Elephas maximus indicus: one gene and its partners. The protein of the gene in region 2 purifies or fractionates together with the protein of the main gene of each other region. This does not show direct contact. Links are inferred from orthologs where the notes say so. Each region holds a gene or a part of one and is shown on either strand. Other genes may lie near its edges.

The links.
Region 1: the proteins of ASF1B (region 2) and MCM6 purify together in Homo sapiens (affinity purification with mass spectrometry; 4 studies listed by BioGRID and IntAct, counting the BioPlex papers as one, with this or other methods). This does not show direct contact. The link is inferred for Elephas maximus indicus from reciprocal best matches to the Homo sapiens genes ASF1B and MCM6.
Region 3: the proteins of ASF1B (region 2) and TLK1 purify together in Homo sapiens (co-immunoprecipitation; 3 studies listed by BioGRID and IntAct, counting the BioPlex papers as one, with this or other methods). This does not show direct contact. The link is inferred for Elephas maximus indicus from reciprocal best matches to the Homo sapiens genes ASF1B and TLK1.

The regions. Positions count from the first base shown.
Region 1 is NC_064824.1:30,992,225-30,998,176, forward strand, and holds the start of MCM6 (DNA replication licensing factor MCM6), read right to left. Parts: upstream 3,330-5,952; 5' UTR 3,251-3,329; coding exon 3,144-3,250; intron 1-3,143. UniProt on the Homo sapiens protein: Acts as a component of the MCM2-7 complex (MCM complex) which is the replicative helicase essential for 'once per cell cycle' DNA replication initiation and elongation in eukaryotic cells.
Region 2 is NC_064821.1:32,773,260-32,779,211, forward strand, and holds the start of ASF1B (histone chaperone ASF1B), read right to left. Parts: upstream 3,105-5,952; 5' UTR 2,924-3,104; coding exon 2,815-2,923; intron 1-2,814. UniProt on the Homo sapiens protein: Histone chaperone that facilitates histone deposition and histone exchange and removal during nucleosome assembly and disassembly. Cooperates with chromatin assembly factor 1 (CAF-1) to promote replication-dependent chromatin assembly.
Region 3 is NC_064824.1:69,384,651-69,390,602, forward strand, and holds the start of TLK1 (serine/threonine-protein kinase tousled-like 1), read right to left. Parts: upstream 3,348-5,952; 5' UTR 2,948-3,347; coding exon 2,809-2,947; intron 1-2,808. UniProt on the Homo sapiens protein: Rapidly and transiently inhibited by phosphorylation following the generation of DNA double-stranded breaks during S-phase. This is cell cycle checkpoint and ATM-pathway dependent and appears to regulate processes involved in chromatin assembly.

The DNA of each region.
Region 1 (5,952 bases), on a different chromosome or scaffold from region 2:
CCCTTTCTGCCTTCTCATCTCACCTCCGGGCAGGTGCTGCCCATTTAGTCTCATGTACCTACTTGAACTGAGAAGCACACTCTTCATGAGTATCATTTTATGTCTTATAGTTCAGTCTATTCTTTGTCTGAAGAGTTGGCTTCAGCAATGGGTTTAGTTCTAGGTTAAGAGAGAGCCCAGGGGCCATGTCTTCTGGGGTTTCTCCAGTTTTCGTCAGACCATCAAGTCTGGTCTTGTTACTAGAATTTGAGTTCTGCACCCCACTTTTCTCCTGCTCCATCAGGGACTCTCTGTTGTGTTCCCTGTTGTGACCCAAGGCGGTCATTGGTGGTAGCCAGGCACCATCTAGTTCTTCCAGTCTAAGGTTTACATGGCGCCTTTTGTCTTTTGTGCTAATATTTTTCTTGTGTCTTTGGTGTGCTTCATTCTCCTTTGTTCCAGGTGGGTTGGGACCAACTGATGCATCTTAGATGGCTGCCTGACAGCTTTTAAGACCCCAGATGCCACTCACCAAAGTGGGATGCAGAACATTTTCTTAATAAATTTTGTTATGCCAATTGACCTAGATATCCCGGATACTCTTCTTCTTCTTTTTTTTTTTTTACAGATGAGGGCACATCACCTCATGTCATAAGACCACTATGATTATATGTAGTCTTTTGCACAGTGCTGGAACACAAGAAAAGGTCCTTGGGCTTTAACCTGAATTTCTTGAATGGAATATTTCCAATCAACTAATGTGTTCAATTGGTAACTATTACTATCGTGATACATAATGTTTAATCAAGAAATTCAGGCTAAAACCCAAAGATCCAATTTTCCTAGGGAATTTGAAAACCAACAGATTAATTGATCTAAGTGTCTGAATAAAAATAAAAACACAGAAATGAAGTGCTTTATTGTCCACGACTGCAGGGAAATGAAAACACATTCACATGCAAAAAACCTGGTGAATTTTTTCCTCAAAGGGTGTATTACATTCTTTTAAACACAATATGCAGATTAGTATCAATCCCTCCTTGGACAACAGTATGTTGTAACTCTTAAATATTTATTGAACTAATATCTACGTGCAAAACACCTGACAGAGCTCCCTGAACCTGAAAATGAAACTGTTCCGCTCTAGGGTTAATGCTCGCAGGAGACATACATGTAAATAACCAAGGAAGGGAAGAAGGATGTTCCTACTAAAGAAAGACACAAGAGATGTGGCCCTGTTAATATAAGCTAATTCTGCCTAACAGGAACATCTAGAAAGGCTTCATACACATAAACATGACACTAGAATTCCACCTTGAAAGATGTTAAAATTTTGAAAGAAAAATAAGAATGGTGGGTTGGCTACAGGCCCCCCCTTAGCCCTCCCTCCCCCCAGAAAAACTTGCCGTGGAGTCGATTCCGACTCACAGTGACCCTCTCTAGGACAGAGTAGAACTGTCCTGCAGGGTTTCCAAGGAACAGCTGACCTTTTCGGTTAGCAACCATGCTTTTAACCATGGTGCCAACAGAGCTCTAGCGGATTGGCTACAGATGTTTGCAAACATGAGGCAAGGTCACAGAGGGTATGGGAGAAGTGTGGGTGATGACTGATGCTGGTTGTGGAAGATGATCCTGGATAGAGGGGCTGCGAAGAATTCGGACTTTATTCCACAAGTGACGCAGAATCAAAGTTAAGTTTTGAAAAGGAAGTTAACATTTTTTTCTCAACAATGTACAGGGATTATTTGTCATCTTCATCATCATCTAACAATATAATAAAGTGAAGGCACTTAAATTATTCCTTGAAACAAATAATTATGGATGATCTTTATGATGTGGTTTGCTAGGTGGGGTTGAGGATGGGATTTGCATTCAAGCTCAGTGACTGACAGGTAAATAAAGGTACACCCAGCTTACCTTACTTACCCATTGCTGTCGAGTCAATTCTGACTCATAGGGACCCTACAGGACAGAGTGGAACTGCCCCATACAGTTTCCAAGGAGCGCCTGGTAGATATGAACTGCCGACCTTTTGGTTAGTAGCTGTAGCTCTTAACCACTACACCACCAGGGTTTCCAAATAAATGCATATTAATAGAGCTATGTGGCAAATGGCACCCTGAGAAGAACGTTAGAAAAGGGGTTAGTTACAAGGGCTTCACAAAGGCGGTGTGATTCTTTAGCTGGGCTTTGAAAGATAAGAAGCTGTCAGGCAGAGAATAACATAACCAAAGGTAGGGAAATGTAAATTATAGTTTTAAGTATGTAAGAACTTTTTAAGACATTCCAAAGTATTTACACTTCATCCTGGAGTCTGCAGAGTTGATGCTACTAGGGAGAGTAGTGATAGATCTGCCCTAAGAGTGATCACTAGTAACCGTAGGGAGAAGCCAAGGAGGAGTTATGGGGGGCCAGGACCCAGGAAGCTACCGGGAAAGAGGAAAAAGGGGGAGGAACGAAGGAAACAAGGCAGAGAGGAAGCCAGCCAGCCGGCCAGCCAGATCGAGGGATGTAATCAGCTAATTTAATGAAGGGTCAGGCTCACCCCATTCCCACCCCGAAAACTCTGCCTCACATCAGAGGGACCCACAGCGCTGACGCTGATAGTTTCAACTCCACCGGCTCCAACGCAGGCCGGGGACGCGGTGTCCCCAACACTAACCTCTGGGCCGTCTGCCCTCTCAGGGCTCGGCCAGGATTCAAACGCTTGTTTGCTTCTCAATCAACCCCGCCGTGCCTACCGGGACAAGCTGCTTAACCTCACCTAGCCTCGGTTTCCCATCGGGAACAAGGAGGCTGTGAGCGGCCTGTTGTGAGGACTAAGTGACGCAAGCAGAGCGCTCGGCTCAGGGCACCGGGCACAACGAGAGACGAGTTTCATCTCTGAAGCCAGCCCAGCCCTTTCAAGCTCCTCGCCGGCGCTCGGCCTGGGGGACTCAAAAAGAGATGCGGGACCTCCCCCCTTCCAAGCGGCGCAATCCCTCCGTGTCCGAAAAGCGCCGGCCGCACGGAACCGCCCGAGCACGGGGACCCGGGAGCCGCGCGCTCCAGGCGACCCGGCTCAGCAAGCGGAAGGGGCCGCGCGGGGAAGTGCCGCGAGGAAGGGCGCCCACCGGGGCTGGGAGCAGCGGCCGCGGGCAGGGCCTGGGCGCCTGCCGACTTACTCCTCCAAGAAGTCCAGGAACAGTTTCTGGCACTTCTCGGCTACCTCGTCGCGGACTTCCAGGTGCTGGGAGCCCGCGGCCGGCTCGGCTGCCGCCACGAGGTCCATCGCCGCCTATGGCTGGGGTGCAGCCGCCGCCACACTCCTCGCCACGAGCAGCTTCTTCCCGGACGCAGCCGCTTTGCGCGCGCCGCCGCCGCTTTCGCCCCGCCCCCTCGCCCGACCGGGACCACTGGAGCCAATCGTGGCGCGGGAGCTCGGAGATTTCGCGCCAAACCTGCCCAATGAGCGGCCGCTTCTCCCTCAGCCCCGCCCACGGAACGGGGATTTGGCGCCAAATGCTAAGGTCTTCTGGAGAAAACAGAGGTCTGCCATTGTGCCTGCGCAGTGTGGCGGTGTACTGGGAGTGTTGGATTTCTAGAGCACGTTAAAAGTTTGCATGTTTGCCCGGACGGTTATTGAAATCATCCCATTGATGTTAATTGAGTGGTAGGATTACGGCTCTATGGAACAGAAAAATGAGTAAGACTCAACCCTGCTGCTGGAGCTGCTTAGTTGGAAGAAGTAAGCTGTAAACCACCGGATAAAACCCGGGGGTGGGGTTTGGCACTCTGGTTGGTGCTGATAGGGGAAAATGAGCTAAGTATTTGACACTGCATTAGTAAGACTTTACTTTCTTGAGGCTTTCAGCAGGGAGCCTTACAGTGGAAGGTGAGCCATGCTGCCTAAAATGAAGCAAAAAGAAGACTGGTAAAAAGAACAGTGCTTAGCACCAGAGACTCCGTTTTGTTTAAAGGCTCCATTTAGCTAATAATTCCCCTTTACTCCTATTTCTGCTTCTACCCTTGGGATTTTACAACCTTGTAAAACTTTAAAGGAATTTAAGGCAAGAATGTGGTCTGTGGAAGTTCAGGAAATGCTAGTCAGAAGGTGTTTGTCAAGAACGCTTGCACAGCATCTTCCAGGAGGAATGTATATTTATATCAGGATTACTGATATTAAGACTGTGATCATGCACACACCTTGAGGCTATAGTCACTACTACCTTTCCCACTTGACTGTATAAAAGGCTTACACCTTTTTTAATGAGTTTGGGCACTTTGTAATTTTCACTTAGTGCAGCCAGTTCAAACTGCTTTATTCCTCAATAAAACTTTTTGCTTTCACTCCTAACAGAGTAAAGACTGTGCTACAGCATTTCCTGTGTCAGAAGTGGGGATTCAGACAGTGCATTGCCTTTTGTGACCCTCAAGGTGTGGAGGTTTTGGGCTCATTTGGCTGTTTCTGTGGTAAATAGCTGCTTGGATCTGAGCTCTGAGCTTTTGCGTAGCAGCTCTCTGAGTTTTATTCAAGGATTTGTTTTTACTTTCTCTTTTAATCAACCTGGATTTTAGGTCTGTGCTATCCCAGGTTTTGGTTTGGTTGTGACAAGGCATCTCAGAGTCTCCCAAGTTGCAAAATACCAGGGCATGGGTTTGAGCATTTAAAAGTCTTCAGGGTGCTCCCCACCAACTGAAAGATACCCATAGGATAAGCTTGGTTGTGAGATAGGCCAGAAACATTTGGCTGCCCACCAGCCTTAAGACAGTTCTCATACAGTGTAGATACTTGGTGAAACATGACACTGTCCAAACCCCCAGGCAGCATCCCCAATAGGATTTTGTTTGACTTTGAAAAACCAAAAGTAACAACCTATGTTTGATTAATCATCTTTTATGTGTACATTTGTCTGTCTGACTAGGAAAACAGGGCATGTCAGATCAAAGAGCAGCTTGGAGCCACACTCTGGGACTCCCACTATTTTATGCTTTTTATGAACAAACATTTTGGTCCATCAAGATTTGTGTTTTTGTCTAGTGTGCATAACCTTTACAGGGACAATTTGGAAAATCACTGGCCACTTTGGAACCTTTTTGAATTTTGTAAATTAGTTTGTACAGTAAATTAGAAAGTAAGGGCTCCCACATTAAACAACCTCAATGGCTTGCCTATTTTGTTTGGTATCTAAAGGCCTCAAAAAGACATCAAAGTAGCAAAATTGCTTCCCTGCAGGATACTGTTTTCAGATTAAGTAAACAAAATAAGGAGCAACATTGTCAAATCTCTGCTCCTATTCCATCTGCTCCTTTGCCATCTGTCTCTTCTCTGAACCTCTTCCAAATGTACTTCTGCCAAATGTCTTACCCTCTTATTCCTCTGCCAGTACTTGTCTGAGCTTTCTTTTTTTCCAAAGGACTCAATTAATGAGCCCTTACAAGAAATGTCTTTTAGAATAGAACCCTCAACTGGGTAACCTTTAACTGAAATGGCCTTCAGACTCTGCCCTGCGAATGTTAAGGATTCTCCCTGTGTCACTTCCATACTCTGGACACACGTAGAGTTATGGAACATAGTGAAAGACTTTCCAAAATTACAGGAGGATCTTTATAAATTTGCTGAGAAATTTAAAATACTGATTGAAGCTTATCAGCCTGGGCTCCCTGATTTGTATTAGTTAATTCATATGTTAGCAGGGCCAGGAGAAGCCCAATTAATGGCTAGAACAAGCTGACTGGAAAGATCCAAAGAACAATTTAGCTTTAAATCTAGACAGAACAGCTGCTACTCTGCTGAAGGACACCTGAACAATAGGTAAAAGTCTGCTAGAGGCCATTCCCAAAGTCTCTCCTCCAATAATAGATTGGATAAAAATTCATTCATGTAAACAAAATAAAGATGAGTGCTTTTATGATTACTAGACCAGGCTTTGTCAAAAATTCGCAGAACATTCTGGACTTGCTTTGGAATCCCAGGAACAAATGGAGCCTTTA
Region 2 (5,952 bases):
GGAAATGGGGGTTGGCTAACTGACCGGGGGTTGGGTGCCTTGTCAGATTTCAGTTGGCAGCACAGAGAGGTAAAAAGACTGAGGTTTCTCCAGGACCAGAGAGACTTTTAAGGCAGCCCCACTCCATCTGTTTGGAAGGCAGGAAACGGATTCTGCTTTGTGGGAAGAAGGCCAGGAAGAGGCAGAAAGCAAGCTGGCATGTCAGAGTCACCAACAGCCATAGGAGGTAGAACCATAGAGTCTGGATTCCCAGGCCAGGGTTTGATTCCCAACTTGAGTTTCTCTGAGCAAAAGCTCTACTATCTGGCATAATTAAGAATAGCGCCCCTTTTACTCTCTTTTGAATGTCCTGATTTGGCAATAAATTGTATGGTCCCTCCTATTTATAAGCAGCCCTGGTGGCACAGTAGCTAAGAGCTCAGCTGCTAACCAAAAGGTCTATGGTTGGAAACCACCAGCTTGCTCCACGGGAGGAAGAAGGGGCAGTCTACTTCGGTTAAAGATTTACAGCCTTGAAAACTCTGTGGGACAGTCTTACTCTGTCCTATAGGGTAGCTTTGAGTTGGAATCAACTCCACAGCAATGGGTTTTTTTGGTTTCCTATTTAAACTCCGCCTCTAAAGTAGGAAATGCTTTCTTTCTTTCGCCTACTAGGATAAGAGCAAAGACAATGAAACCAGACTCAGACCTCAGCAACAAGTTTTCATCCCAACATTTCTATAAACTGGCTGTGTGACCTTGGAGAAGTCACTCCACTTCCCTCTATTAAAAAGGAAAACACTGCAGGCTAACTTTAACCTTTCCTGTCCCAATACTATAAACAAATTACTAAAGTCACCGGGCACGGACTTCCAGGAATAATAGTACTAAATAATGGCCATGCAACCATTTTTAATTCAAGAAGTACAAACAGGCTGATTGCAACCTGATCTCCTGCCATCTGGGAACTGTGAATCCCTTAACCTATTAGCTCCTTACATCTCTTCCTGGCTTTAAAATTAAATCTTATTCCACAGTGTCATTCTACACTTTATTTATTTATTTACACCCAGACTTGTTCTAGCAAGGATTTAACTTGGCTTACTCTATACTTAGTCACAAATGGACTCCTTAATTTAAAAAAAGAGTGTGAGACACAGGGGGAGAGTGACCACTGGCTCACCTGTAGGCCACACATCCTTCAAACTGTATCAGCCGCAAGCAATCCAAGCAGCAGGCTCTGTGAGCAAACCACACATCTGCCACTGAGAGGCGCTAGTTAGCGCGCCAGCCTCACCTCAGTTGCTGCCCCTTCTCCTTTAATGGCCAAGTGGAGAGGTGGTCTAGCTGATTACTTCCTCCTGAAAGCAGGACTTGCCTGTCAGCTGTGCCAAAGCTCCCTGGGTGACCTTAGCCATTTAGTTTTAGATTTTTATAGACCTCTTCTTGAAAGGTCTTTTACTCTTTGTGGTGCCTGCTTTCTCATCTGAGATGAGAGCCATGTCTACCTCCTTTATGTCACACAGACTTGTAAGTACATTCATGAAAGCACCTTGGAAAAGATGCACAAAAGGTTGTGACCTCCTAGCTGATTATTTGAAGCCAGATGCTGTCTCAGCTCAGCCTGTCCCACCCACTCCTCAGACTAGGTCAAACCATCAAACGCATTGGAAGAATTGCTGCAGTAAGTCAGCTGGAACCTGGTGGGCAAACCCTGGGAACTGGCTCACACTTGCCTGGCTACACCACCCCTCAGATTGGCAGGTGTTTATCCAAGCTGATTAGCAGAGAGGAGGGAGAAACAGGAACTTGGGAGGACCAAGTTACCCTCCAAGTCTAGAGGGAGAAGCCAGGCCATCCCTCCCTAGATGGAGCTCAAGTGTAGGGGATCAGACTGAGGAGGAGAAAAGCCAAGTTCTAGAGTGTATGCTTTGGGGTGGAGAGCAAGCAGAAGTTGGGAGGCAAGGTGGGAAAGATGTTTAAATATAAGCAAGTTGGGGAGGGGATTGTTAGGGGAGATGGAGTAAGATCATGTGACAGGAAAGTCTTAACAGGGAAAAAGGAAGGTGACTTTAGGGGGAGGTCTCCACAGGGAAAAAGAAGGGGTGTTTGGAGGAGAGGTCTCCACAGAAAAAATGACAGGTGGCTGAGGTCTCTACAGGATAAAAATGAGTTGGGAGTGTCTGGCCACAGGGGAGTGGGGATGAGTGGCAGCCTCATCCCATTGGGTGGCTGGAAGGGGGGGTCTGGCCTTCCAGAAACGGAGGGTCACTTGGAATGCGTCTTGCCATAGGGAAGAATGGAGGCTGAGAAGGTCCCTACTTAAACGGGTAGCTGGGAGGAGCTCTACCAAAAAAAAAAAAAAAAAAAGGGATGATGTTTCCACAGGAAAGTGGGAGAGTGGGGTTGGCCATGGAAGGAGGGGTCTCCACGGGGTGGTCAGGGTTGGCTGTGTGTGGGGAGTCTCAGGGGCAGGTCAGGATTGGCACTGGGGGGGTCACGGGGGAGGTTAGGGTTGGCACTGGGGGGCCTCAGGGGGAGATTAGGTTTGACACTAGGGGGTTTCCATGGGGAGGTAGAGGTTGACGGGATGGGAGGGTGTTTTCACAGGGAGGTCCGAGTTGGCCACCGGAAGTCAGGGTTGGTTGTGTCAGGAGGATCTCGGGGAGATTAGGGTTGGCATTGGGGTGGTCTCCATGGGGAGGTCGAGGTTGATGGGGGCTGAGAGGTGTCTCCACGAGGAGGTCGGGGTTGACCGTGGGAATGTCTCGAGGGTAAGTCGGGGTTGGCCGTGGGGGGAGGGGGGGAGGTGTCTCCACACAGGCCCAGCCTCACCGTCCGCCAAGGCCTCATTGCACTCGAAGCTGATCTCGAACCGGAAGGGGCTGTGGAAAGGGGTCGGGTTCTCCAGCACCGCCACGTTCAGCACCGATACTTTGGCCATCGCCTCGCCGGGCCGGGGCTGGTACCAGGGCTGAGGCCGGGCCGGGGCCAACCTAGGGCCTGCGTCCGGTGGGTTAGGAGGCAGGGTTCCAAGAGCCGCTCCCGACTCCTCTCTACGCGGACTGAAATGCGCACCTCGTCCGCGCGCCGCCTTCAAATAGCCACCCCACCCCCCGGCCAATCACCGCCAACGCTCCCCGGCGGCGCGAGCCCGTCTTCAGCCAATCCTGGAGCGCCGGCGGGCGCGCGCCGAGACTCCCGGACCAATCAGGGGTGCTCCCTCCCCGGTGAGCGCGAGAGGGACGGGAACGTCTCCATGCTTCTTTGGGCCCCCATCCCCACCTGGGAGCCAATCCCCAGTGTCTCCGACTCGGATGCAGAGGGCGAGAGTGGGCGGAGAAAGAGCAGGGCCTCCTCCTGGCCAATCCCAAGGGTTCCCGCACCAGCGTGGCGCGCGCTTCGCCCCGCCCTTCCGGGGCACGCATCCCACGGGGCAGCGCCGCCAACGGCCGAACGGGGGCGCGCGGCGCACGCTGAAGAGGGCGGGAAGGGCGGTGCTTGCGTCAGCGGTGATTGGCGGGCGGGAGTGGGTGGGAATAAAGCAGGTTTAGTGATAGGCGATTGGCTGAGTTGACCGCGGGGGCTGGAGGAGAGCTAGCACAACTGGGATTCGCGGAATGGGTGGGGGGAGTCGGGCGCCTGCGCGACTGCGTCGAGTCTGAAGAGAAAAGAGCGTTTGCGGCCTCGGCGTCTGTCAGCGGGTGAGCGTTACCGGGAGCGTCACTCAGGAGTTCCTGGCTACTCAGGTCAGGCGGCCAGGGAGTCCGTTATGAACGTTGTGAACGTTGGGCTCAGCCGTGGGGAGACGGAGTGGCAGTAACGCGCTACGCTTGGCCTGGCTTCAGGACTGGGGCCTGGTTCGAATCCCACTGTCGGCATCTCGAGGGCCGCTGGGAGGTTTCAAGTAGATAATACCCCTCAAGCGCGAAGCGTCTGATAGACGTGGGTTCGAGTCCGAGCTCTGCCACTCCCATTTCCTCGTCCATTAAACGGGCTGTGAAAATTCACTGACATGACTCGTGACTCCACAATACTTGCAGAAACTTCACCTCCATCCGTGGTCTGGACCACCGACGCCTCCTGCCTGGAGCACCCAAGAACTTCTGCAACCACTCTGTCTCGGCGACCAGTATTGTCCAGTGGAAAAGTAACGCAAGCCACATACCTAATTTTACATTTTCTAGTATCCACATTAAAAAAATAGAAAAAAAGTGAAATTAATTTTAATAACGTGTCAAGTCTAATCCCATATAGCCAAAATATTACTGCCACATATGATTATAAAAATACGAAGGAGATAACTTACGTATTTTTACTCAGTACTAAGGCTTTGACAGCCTGTGTGTGTTTCACAGGTACAGCACATCTGTAACTGGGACCCTAAATTTTCATCGGAAATAGTTATTCTGCCTTTAGGTTTCATACAGTTTACAGTTGGAGAAGTAGATTCGTGTGTCGAAGTTGTTCCAAACATGCGTAAAAGTTTTCCATTAGCTGAATTGTATTTCGGAGTTTTAATTTTTAAATTAAATAAAATTGAAAGTTCAGTTTGCAGTTGAATTTGCCACCTGTGGAAAAAGACTCCTGTACTATTGGATAGTGCAAACCTAAAACAGTTGGATCAGGTCACGCCCCTGCTTGAAACGGGAGTGGTTTTCTACAGTTCTGGACTGAGAACATTGTTATCAAGACCCTACATGCTTTGTTTCCTATTACCTACTCATCTCCAGCTTCAGTCCAGCCAAACAGACCCCTTTTTTGTTGCTTAAAAAACTGATAGCTCAGAGCCCCTGCCTGGAACCTCTTTTCCCAACTCTTGGCCCAGCTAGTGCCTTTTCACTCAGGCTTCTTGCTTCAAATGCGCTTTCCTCAGAGAAGCCTTTCCAATGGTCCCCTGGACAGTGTTCAAACTTACTCCTTTGGTATTCTGGGCCATCTAGGATGGGATGTAAGCCTCTGCTACTCTATAAACCTTAACAGCACTGATCTAAGCCTCCAGCATCTCTTACCTGGCCACCTCTGGGTTCTCCTCAGAATCTTAAGGCTTCATGGTGTGAGGCATATATATTTTTTTTTTTTTTTGGTATATACATTAAGAAAAAAAATTTTTTTCCATTAAAAAAAATGGGAAGTTATTTTTTTCTTTTGATATTACTTGCCTGCAAGAAAATTGACATTTATAATTGGCTTGATCTGGCAAATGCTGGGCATACTTGGGAATTTCTGTGACTTGAGAAGAATCTAATTTCCAAATGATTTCCAAGTGTGATTGATTTTTTGCAAATACTAAATTATCAATGCATGAAGTTGCTATGATGTTAAGTTTTCTAAATAAACATTTAGTTAAACATTTATTGATTTCAACTTTGCAGTTTTGTTTTTTCTCTGTGGAAGTTTTTCCCCCTTTATCCCCACCCCATTGTTTTCATAGCTCCTGAAAAGCTCAGCGGCCACAAGCATTTTCTGTCTGTGGTGCTAGTAGAGAAAATGGTCCTGTCTGTGACGAGTTCTCCATACAGCCGTCCGAGTGATCTTCAAATATAAATCAGATCATGTCATTCCCCTGCTTAAACTCTTCAAAGGCTCATCATACCTAGGATGAATCCTAAAGTCTTCACTATGGCTTAGGAAGGTTGCCGAAGTTCCTTAGGAGGCCCTGCATGGTGGCCTTAGCTGACCTCTGGGACCTAATCTACCACTTCCCTTTTTGCCACCATTCTCAAGCCATGCTGGCTTTATTGCTGTTCTTTTAATTCACCAAGCTTATTCCTGCCTCAGGGCTTTGCACTTGCTGTTTCCTCTGCCTGGAATGTGCTGCCCCCAGATAATTGCGTGACTGTCTCATTCCCATCATTTATGTTTCAGCTCAAATGTCTTTCTTCGAGGAACCTTTCCAGACCACCCTATTGACAGTAGCACTTCCTTAATCATATCAACCTGTTTTATTATCTTAGTAGCACTTATCAGAAC
Region 3 (5,952 bases), on a different chromosome or scaffold from region 2:
ACAAACATGTACGCACGTGTGTGTGTATCTCTCCGAGGTTTACATTTTTCTATTACCATATTTTAAATTAAAATAGATTCAATTTTTCAGGAAACAAAGTTTGTTCTCTCCTTGACACATACATTTAAGTTCCATTCATGTTAATGGTTCTTACTAACATCCAACAGAAGTCAAAAGCTCTGAAGTTACATCAATTTATATAATACAGTGACATGTATACCTGGAAAAGGTGCTAAACACTTTAAAAATATAAACTCGGATTCTACTCTATAGAGGATATCTCCATTTTGATAGGACAATGTTCCTGTTAACATTAGTGAAACTTGAGGATATAACTCAAGCTCTAAGAGAAATATATCCCGAAAGAGGGTTGGGAGTCCCTAGGTGGTGCAAATGACTGAAGTACTCTCCTGCTAACCAAAAGGTTGGCGATTTGAGTCCACTCAAAAGTGTCTCAGAAGAAAAGCCTGGTGATCGACTTCTAAAAAGTCAGCCATTGAAAACCCTATGGAGCACAGTTCTACACTGACACACATGGGGTGGCCATGAGTTGAAACTGACTTGATAGCAACTGGTTTCAGAGAGGTTGGAGTCTACCCAGAGGTGCCTCAGAAGAAAGGCCTGGCAATCTATTTCTGAAAAATCAGCCACTGAAAACCCTATGGAGCACAGGTTCTATTCAGACACACGTGGGGTTGCCCTGAGTTCGAACTGATTTTGATAGCAACTGGTTAACTCAGTTTTTAATCTACATGCTGGTTGGTCAGAGAGAGACCACACGCAGGGACTTGATATGAAATATAACTTTCACAAAACACATCCTACTTTCGTATTAATTAACAGATTCCCTATTTTAGGTTACACAAAAATCTACGGTAATCTAAACTGCTGGAAAATTCTGGTTATTTCAAAGTCCAGGTTAATTATTCTAACCCTTCAAAACTTTCAAATATCAGGAAAAGTGCAGAATAGTACAGATAAAGAAATTTTTAACTAGAGTTGAAGTAACTTCAGAAACTCAATCTAGATTTCGTGGCCCCCAAATTACTAACACTGATAACCAATGTCAACAGATGAACAACAGACAATAACAGACATAATCATATACCCTCAGTATCTAGTACAGGGACTGGCTTACAATAATGGCTCAACAATTGAGGAATGAATGATAAAACACCTTTAAAAAATAAAATAAAATGGTCTTTCTCAACTCACAACACTACCAGTAAGCACCTTAATGAAATTACGAAGTAAAAGCATGCTAAAAGCACCCAACTGTTCCGTTTACAAAATACCTTTTAAAATATTCATTTAAAATTTTTCAAGTGCACAAAGATCACCAGATACTAAATTTGAGTGAGTCAATAAATAAACTTTTATTAATAACCAGAACTCAGTGTTGAGAGCAAAATGAAAGGGAAAAATGTCTGTCAATATATTCAGCATGTTTAATGGATGCCATAAATCAAACCTTCCCACGAATTTTCTAGAGCAAATTCATGCCAATCTTTGAGCCTATTGTCACTTTCACACATGCTCACAGGAACAAAATGACAAAGAATGCTACGCCTGAACCGCTGGATTCAGGGCACAAAACACTAGATTAACAACTGTCAAGGCTATGAGTAATAAATATTGAGTGATATTTTCAAAATAAATTAAACCCATCGATTTCTACATAAATTGATGCTCCTGCTTTCTTTAAAAGATCCATTAGACTGACTTCCACACGTTTTTTTTTTTTTTCTTCTTGTGAAAATGTGGCTACAATCTTGCATGAGACAACTGGGACTGAACAACCCGTTTACCAACTGCTGATGAATACCGCTAAACATTTTCCAGACAAAGAGCGTTAAACGCGATTCCATGCACATTTACTCTTCCCCCATAAATGAGCGTTCTCCTGAATTTCATTTTGTGTCGTATACTTAAAGTTAAACACAGCAAGTTGAAATTTTAGCCAAAAGCACTCCGGTGTCTTACTAGCTGTGTAACTGCTACATCTGGTGGCAGCACACTTTCATGCAAGAAGCCAGAAAACTTAGAAAACAATCGTAACCGATCTGGTGCGTGTTTGCAGTAACCTTTACGCAGATATTTCCCACAAAACCCACGACCCTGTCAGAGAAGAACAGTAGTCTACTTGCAGAAGAGAGAGAACGCACAAACACGCAGAAGGTGATGGCGAAGGAGAGAAAGTTGCAACCATCTGGAGGGGTGATTTAAGAACCTGCCCACGAGTCACACTGTCGTTTAAATTGCTCTAGGGCAGGGGATCAAAGTCTGCCTAGACAATAATTTCAGCGTCTCTCCCTAAAGAGAAGAGACCCTGCAAACGAAGTGCATCCAGGTCCCGGGCAGCAAAGCTTGCGGAGCCACGGGACCGCCTCTGTGGGAGGAGTGCGAGGGCGAATGGGAGGGGGCTCGCGAGGATGAATGCTCCAACGGGAGGGAAAACCCACCAGAGACAGAGGAGGCCAGGAGGTTAAACGTATGGAGTGTACTAGGAAAGGGGGCAGAAAGGGACTCGCGTCCGGAGGGAGGCTTCCCACCCTCGCACGACGGGCTCTTAGGAAGCCAGACGAGTCTGTGCGCCTCGCCCCGTCCCCACCAGCCCGCACCCCCTCGCTCGTCTCCTCCGCCACCCGTGAACCACCACCCACAGCCAGCGCACTACCTCCCCGGAGCCCGGCGGCCTCGCGGCCACCTCGCCACCATCCCCCACCCCAGGGTCGAGGAGAGGAGACCCGAGGGCGCGGGGGCCGTGGCGCGGGAAGGGGGCCCGCGAGCGGGCGCGGCGGTGCTTACCTTCCCTGGGCCTCCCGGATGGCGGCGTGTGATTCAGCAGGGACCTGGCCGCCGCCGCCGAGCCCGGGGTTGGAGACGTGGAGAGCTGGGACCAAGATGGCGGCCCCTCCAAACTTCCACTGCTACTTTGGACACTCATCAAGCTACTTTCTGGGAACCCGACTCTGCCCCCGAGACAGCAGCAGTGGCAACGGCACCGGCACCCGCCTCCGTCATGGCGGGGGCCGCGCTGAGGGCGAGGGAGAGAGTGAGGGCAGGGAGGGGAGAGTCAAGGGGATGGGGGAAGGAAACCGAGCAGGGGGGAGGTGGAAAGGGAAGAGGTGAGGGGAGGAGAGGGGACTGGGAGGAGGAAAAGGGGGAGAAGAGAAGGAGCGGGCGGGCGCGCCGGAGAAGAGGCGGAGGGAAGGAGCGCCGCGGTAAGGGCGTCGAGGGGGCGCCCGCCGGGCTGGGGTCGAAGCGCGGGCGGAGCGCGGGCAGCGCCGGCCGAGGAGACTTCCGCGGGCGGAACCTGCCGGCACCTCTGCAGTGCGTCGGCCCCCGGCGTCGCCTGGGTGGCGGCGGCAGCGGACGGTGGGTGGCGGCTGAGGCGGCGGCGGCAGGGTAACCTCTGCATCAGTTACAGGAGGCGGCGGCGGCGGCGTCACGCGCCGCCTGTGCAAACACTATCGCGAGGCTCCTGCGCCTCCGGTAGCGGCGGCGGCCGCCGGAGCAGGCATGGGGGAGGGACCTGCCAGAGCCTGGGGGCGGGGGTGTGAGGAGGGAGCGAGCGCGCGAGGGAGGAGACGCGGCCGAGGGGGCGCCCCCGGCGCGCCCGCGGATCGCAGCGCGGGAGCCCCGGGCCGACGGACTCGCGTGCGCGGGCCGCCCTCCCCGCGCCGGCCGGAGGGAGGCGCGCCCCGCACGCGCCCCCTCCGCGCAGCTCCGGCTCCCGCGCCCCTGCCACCTGACTCCCCCTCTCCCGCGGAAGCGCGCCTGGCTCCCGACCCACACCCAGCCTGGGGAGGAATGCTTCTGCTCTTGCTCGACTGTCGCTTCTCCGTGGTTAGAAGTCATCGTTTTTCAAGATGGAACTGAAAAGTTGAAAGTTGCTTCTGTCTTGCTCTTCTGTACTGTGCAAAAAACCTGTGTGCGTCTCCCACTCTGCAGAATGGGAGTAATTACCGAATAAAAGAACTGAGGAAATAAGTTGGGGAGGGGGATGTTGCGATATAAACTTTCTGAATGTTTTCTTAAAAAAAAAAAAAATCTTTAGTAAAGGAATTGAAAATCACTACCGGTATTGTAGACCGTACATGTGGCATAGCAGTTCTTTTTGTTTTGAAACCGTAAGTGGAAAATCTAAATAGAAAATTTTTAACGCTGAATTCACATATTTAGGAAAATTACCCAGTGTTCATCGTGTAGAAAGGGCATGTTTCTAGAAAGTTCCAATTTGTTTCTATTTTTCCCCCAGCTCTGACTAGAAAATCTCAAAGCAAATTACAGCATTTTCTAAAATTTATAGACGCGGTGTAGCTTTCTACACACCCACACATGCACCAGGGATTGGACATCTTGTATATAAAAGAGTAGTCTGGTAGTTCAGGAAAAGTACAACAAGGTTATTGCATTCTTTAAAAAACCAAGTTGAATAGAACAGTAAACAGATTATGATATAGAGCAATTGTACAGGCATGAGGAAATGGCATGATTACCAGGGGACAAAAATGTCATTTCTATTTTTTATTTTTATGACTTTGCATTTCTGACAGTAATGTTTTGTTCAGATAAACCATCATACTAGAATAGAACCTTGGTTGTCAATTATCTCCAGAAGTAATTTTAGTTTTATGCTTGAGATACTTCAGTGGGTTTTTAATCATCTTCTGCTTTTCAAATGTAAGAGGTAGATCTCACAAATTAAACAGCTTTATTGAGGTATAATTGACATGCAGTAAACTGCATGTGTTTAAGGTGTACAATTTGATAAATTTTGACATGTATATACCCTTGAAACCCTCTCTACAATCAAGATCATCAGTATATCCATCACCCCCAAAGTTTTCTCTACTGAGGTTCCTCGTCCACTCCCCCCCATCCCCAACCACTGTCACTATAGATTAGTTTGCATTTTCTAAAATTTTAAATAAATAGAACCAGAGTATAGGCACTCTTTTCTCTAGCTTCTTTCACTGGACATAATTGAGATTCAATCACATTGTTGCATTTATCAATAGTTCGTTCCTTTTTATTGCTGAGTGGTATTCATTTGTATGAATGTACACACTTTGTTTATCCAGTCACATATTGATGAACCTTTGTGTTACGGCCATTTTTCGCTTTTACAAATAGTGCTGCTGTTAACACTCATGTACAAGTCTTTGTGTGTACATATGCCTTCCTTTCTCTTGGATACATACTCACGAGTTTACCATTAGATTTTTATGTCATATTATATGCACTCTAACTATAAGGGGGTATAAAGTTTCTATAACAACATGTAGATAAGTATATGCTCTTACTGTATTTTTAAAGGAATAAGCTTAGCAGATTGTGGTGAAAAGAGCATAGAGCTGGAAGGAAGTTAAGAAACTAGTCACAATCTTTAATTCAATTACCTGATCTTTGGAAAAGTGGCTAGATCTGTAAAGTTCCTGCCAATTCCAAGACTCTATACAGAGCTCAACTCGAGAGTATACAGAGCCCGAACAAAAAGATAGGATCCTATCCCTCTCTCCGAAGCTTCAGGTTACCTTTATATCAGCCCTTAGCCGTGTAACATTTATGCTGACTGGCTCCTTTTATTATAAATGGAGGATCATGCATATTCATCATCAAATTAGATATATTTTTGTGAGTGCTGGCTAGGAAGGACAATTAAATGATCAATTTCTGCCTTTCATAGCTTACAATTAAGATAGCACCTACAAAGAGGCCTCTGCAGCAATAGGGAGCTAATTACCATGGTTTAGTCGGAAAATGGAATGTCACGCCATCGTTTAAAATAATGTCTTCAGAGAATACTGAAAAAGATGGCAAAAGTTTCATGTTATACTAAGTGAAAAAATAAATTATGATCCTGATTTGTTTGTAGGTATGCATTAAAAATTACTGAGAGGGGCCACTTCCAGTGTAGCCATGGCAGCTAATGGTACCACTAACCTG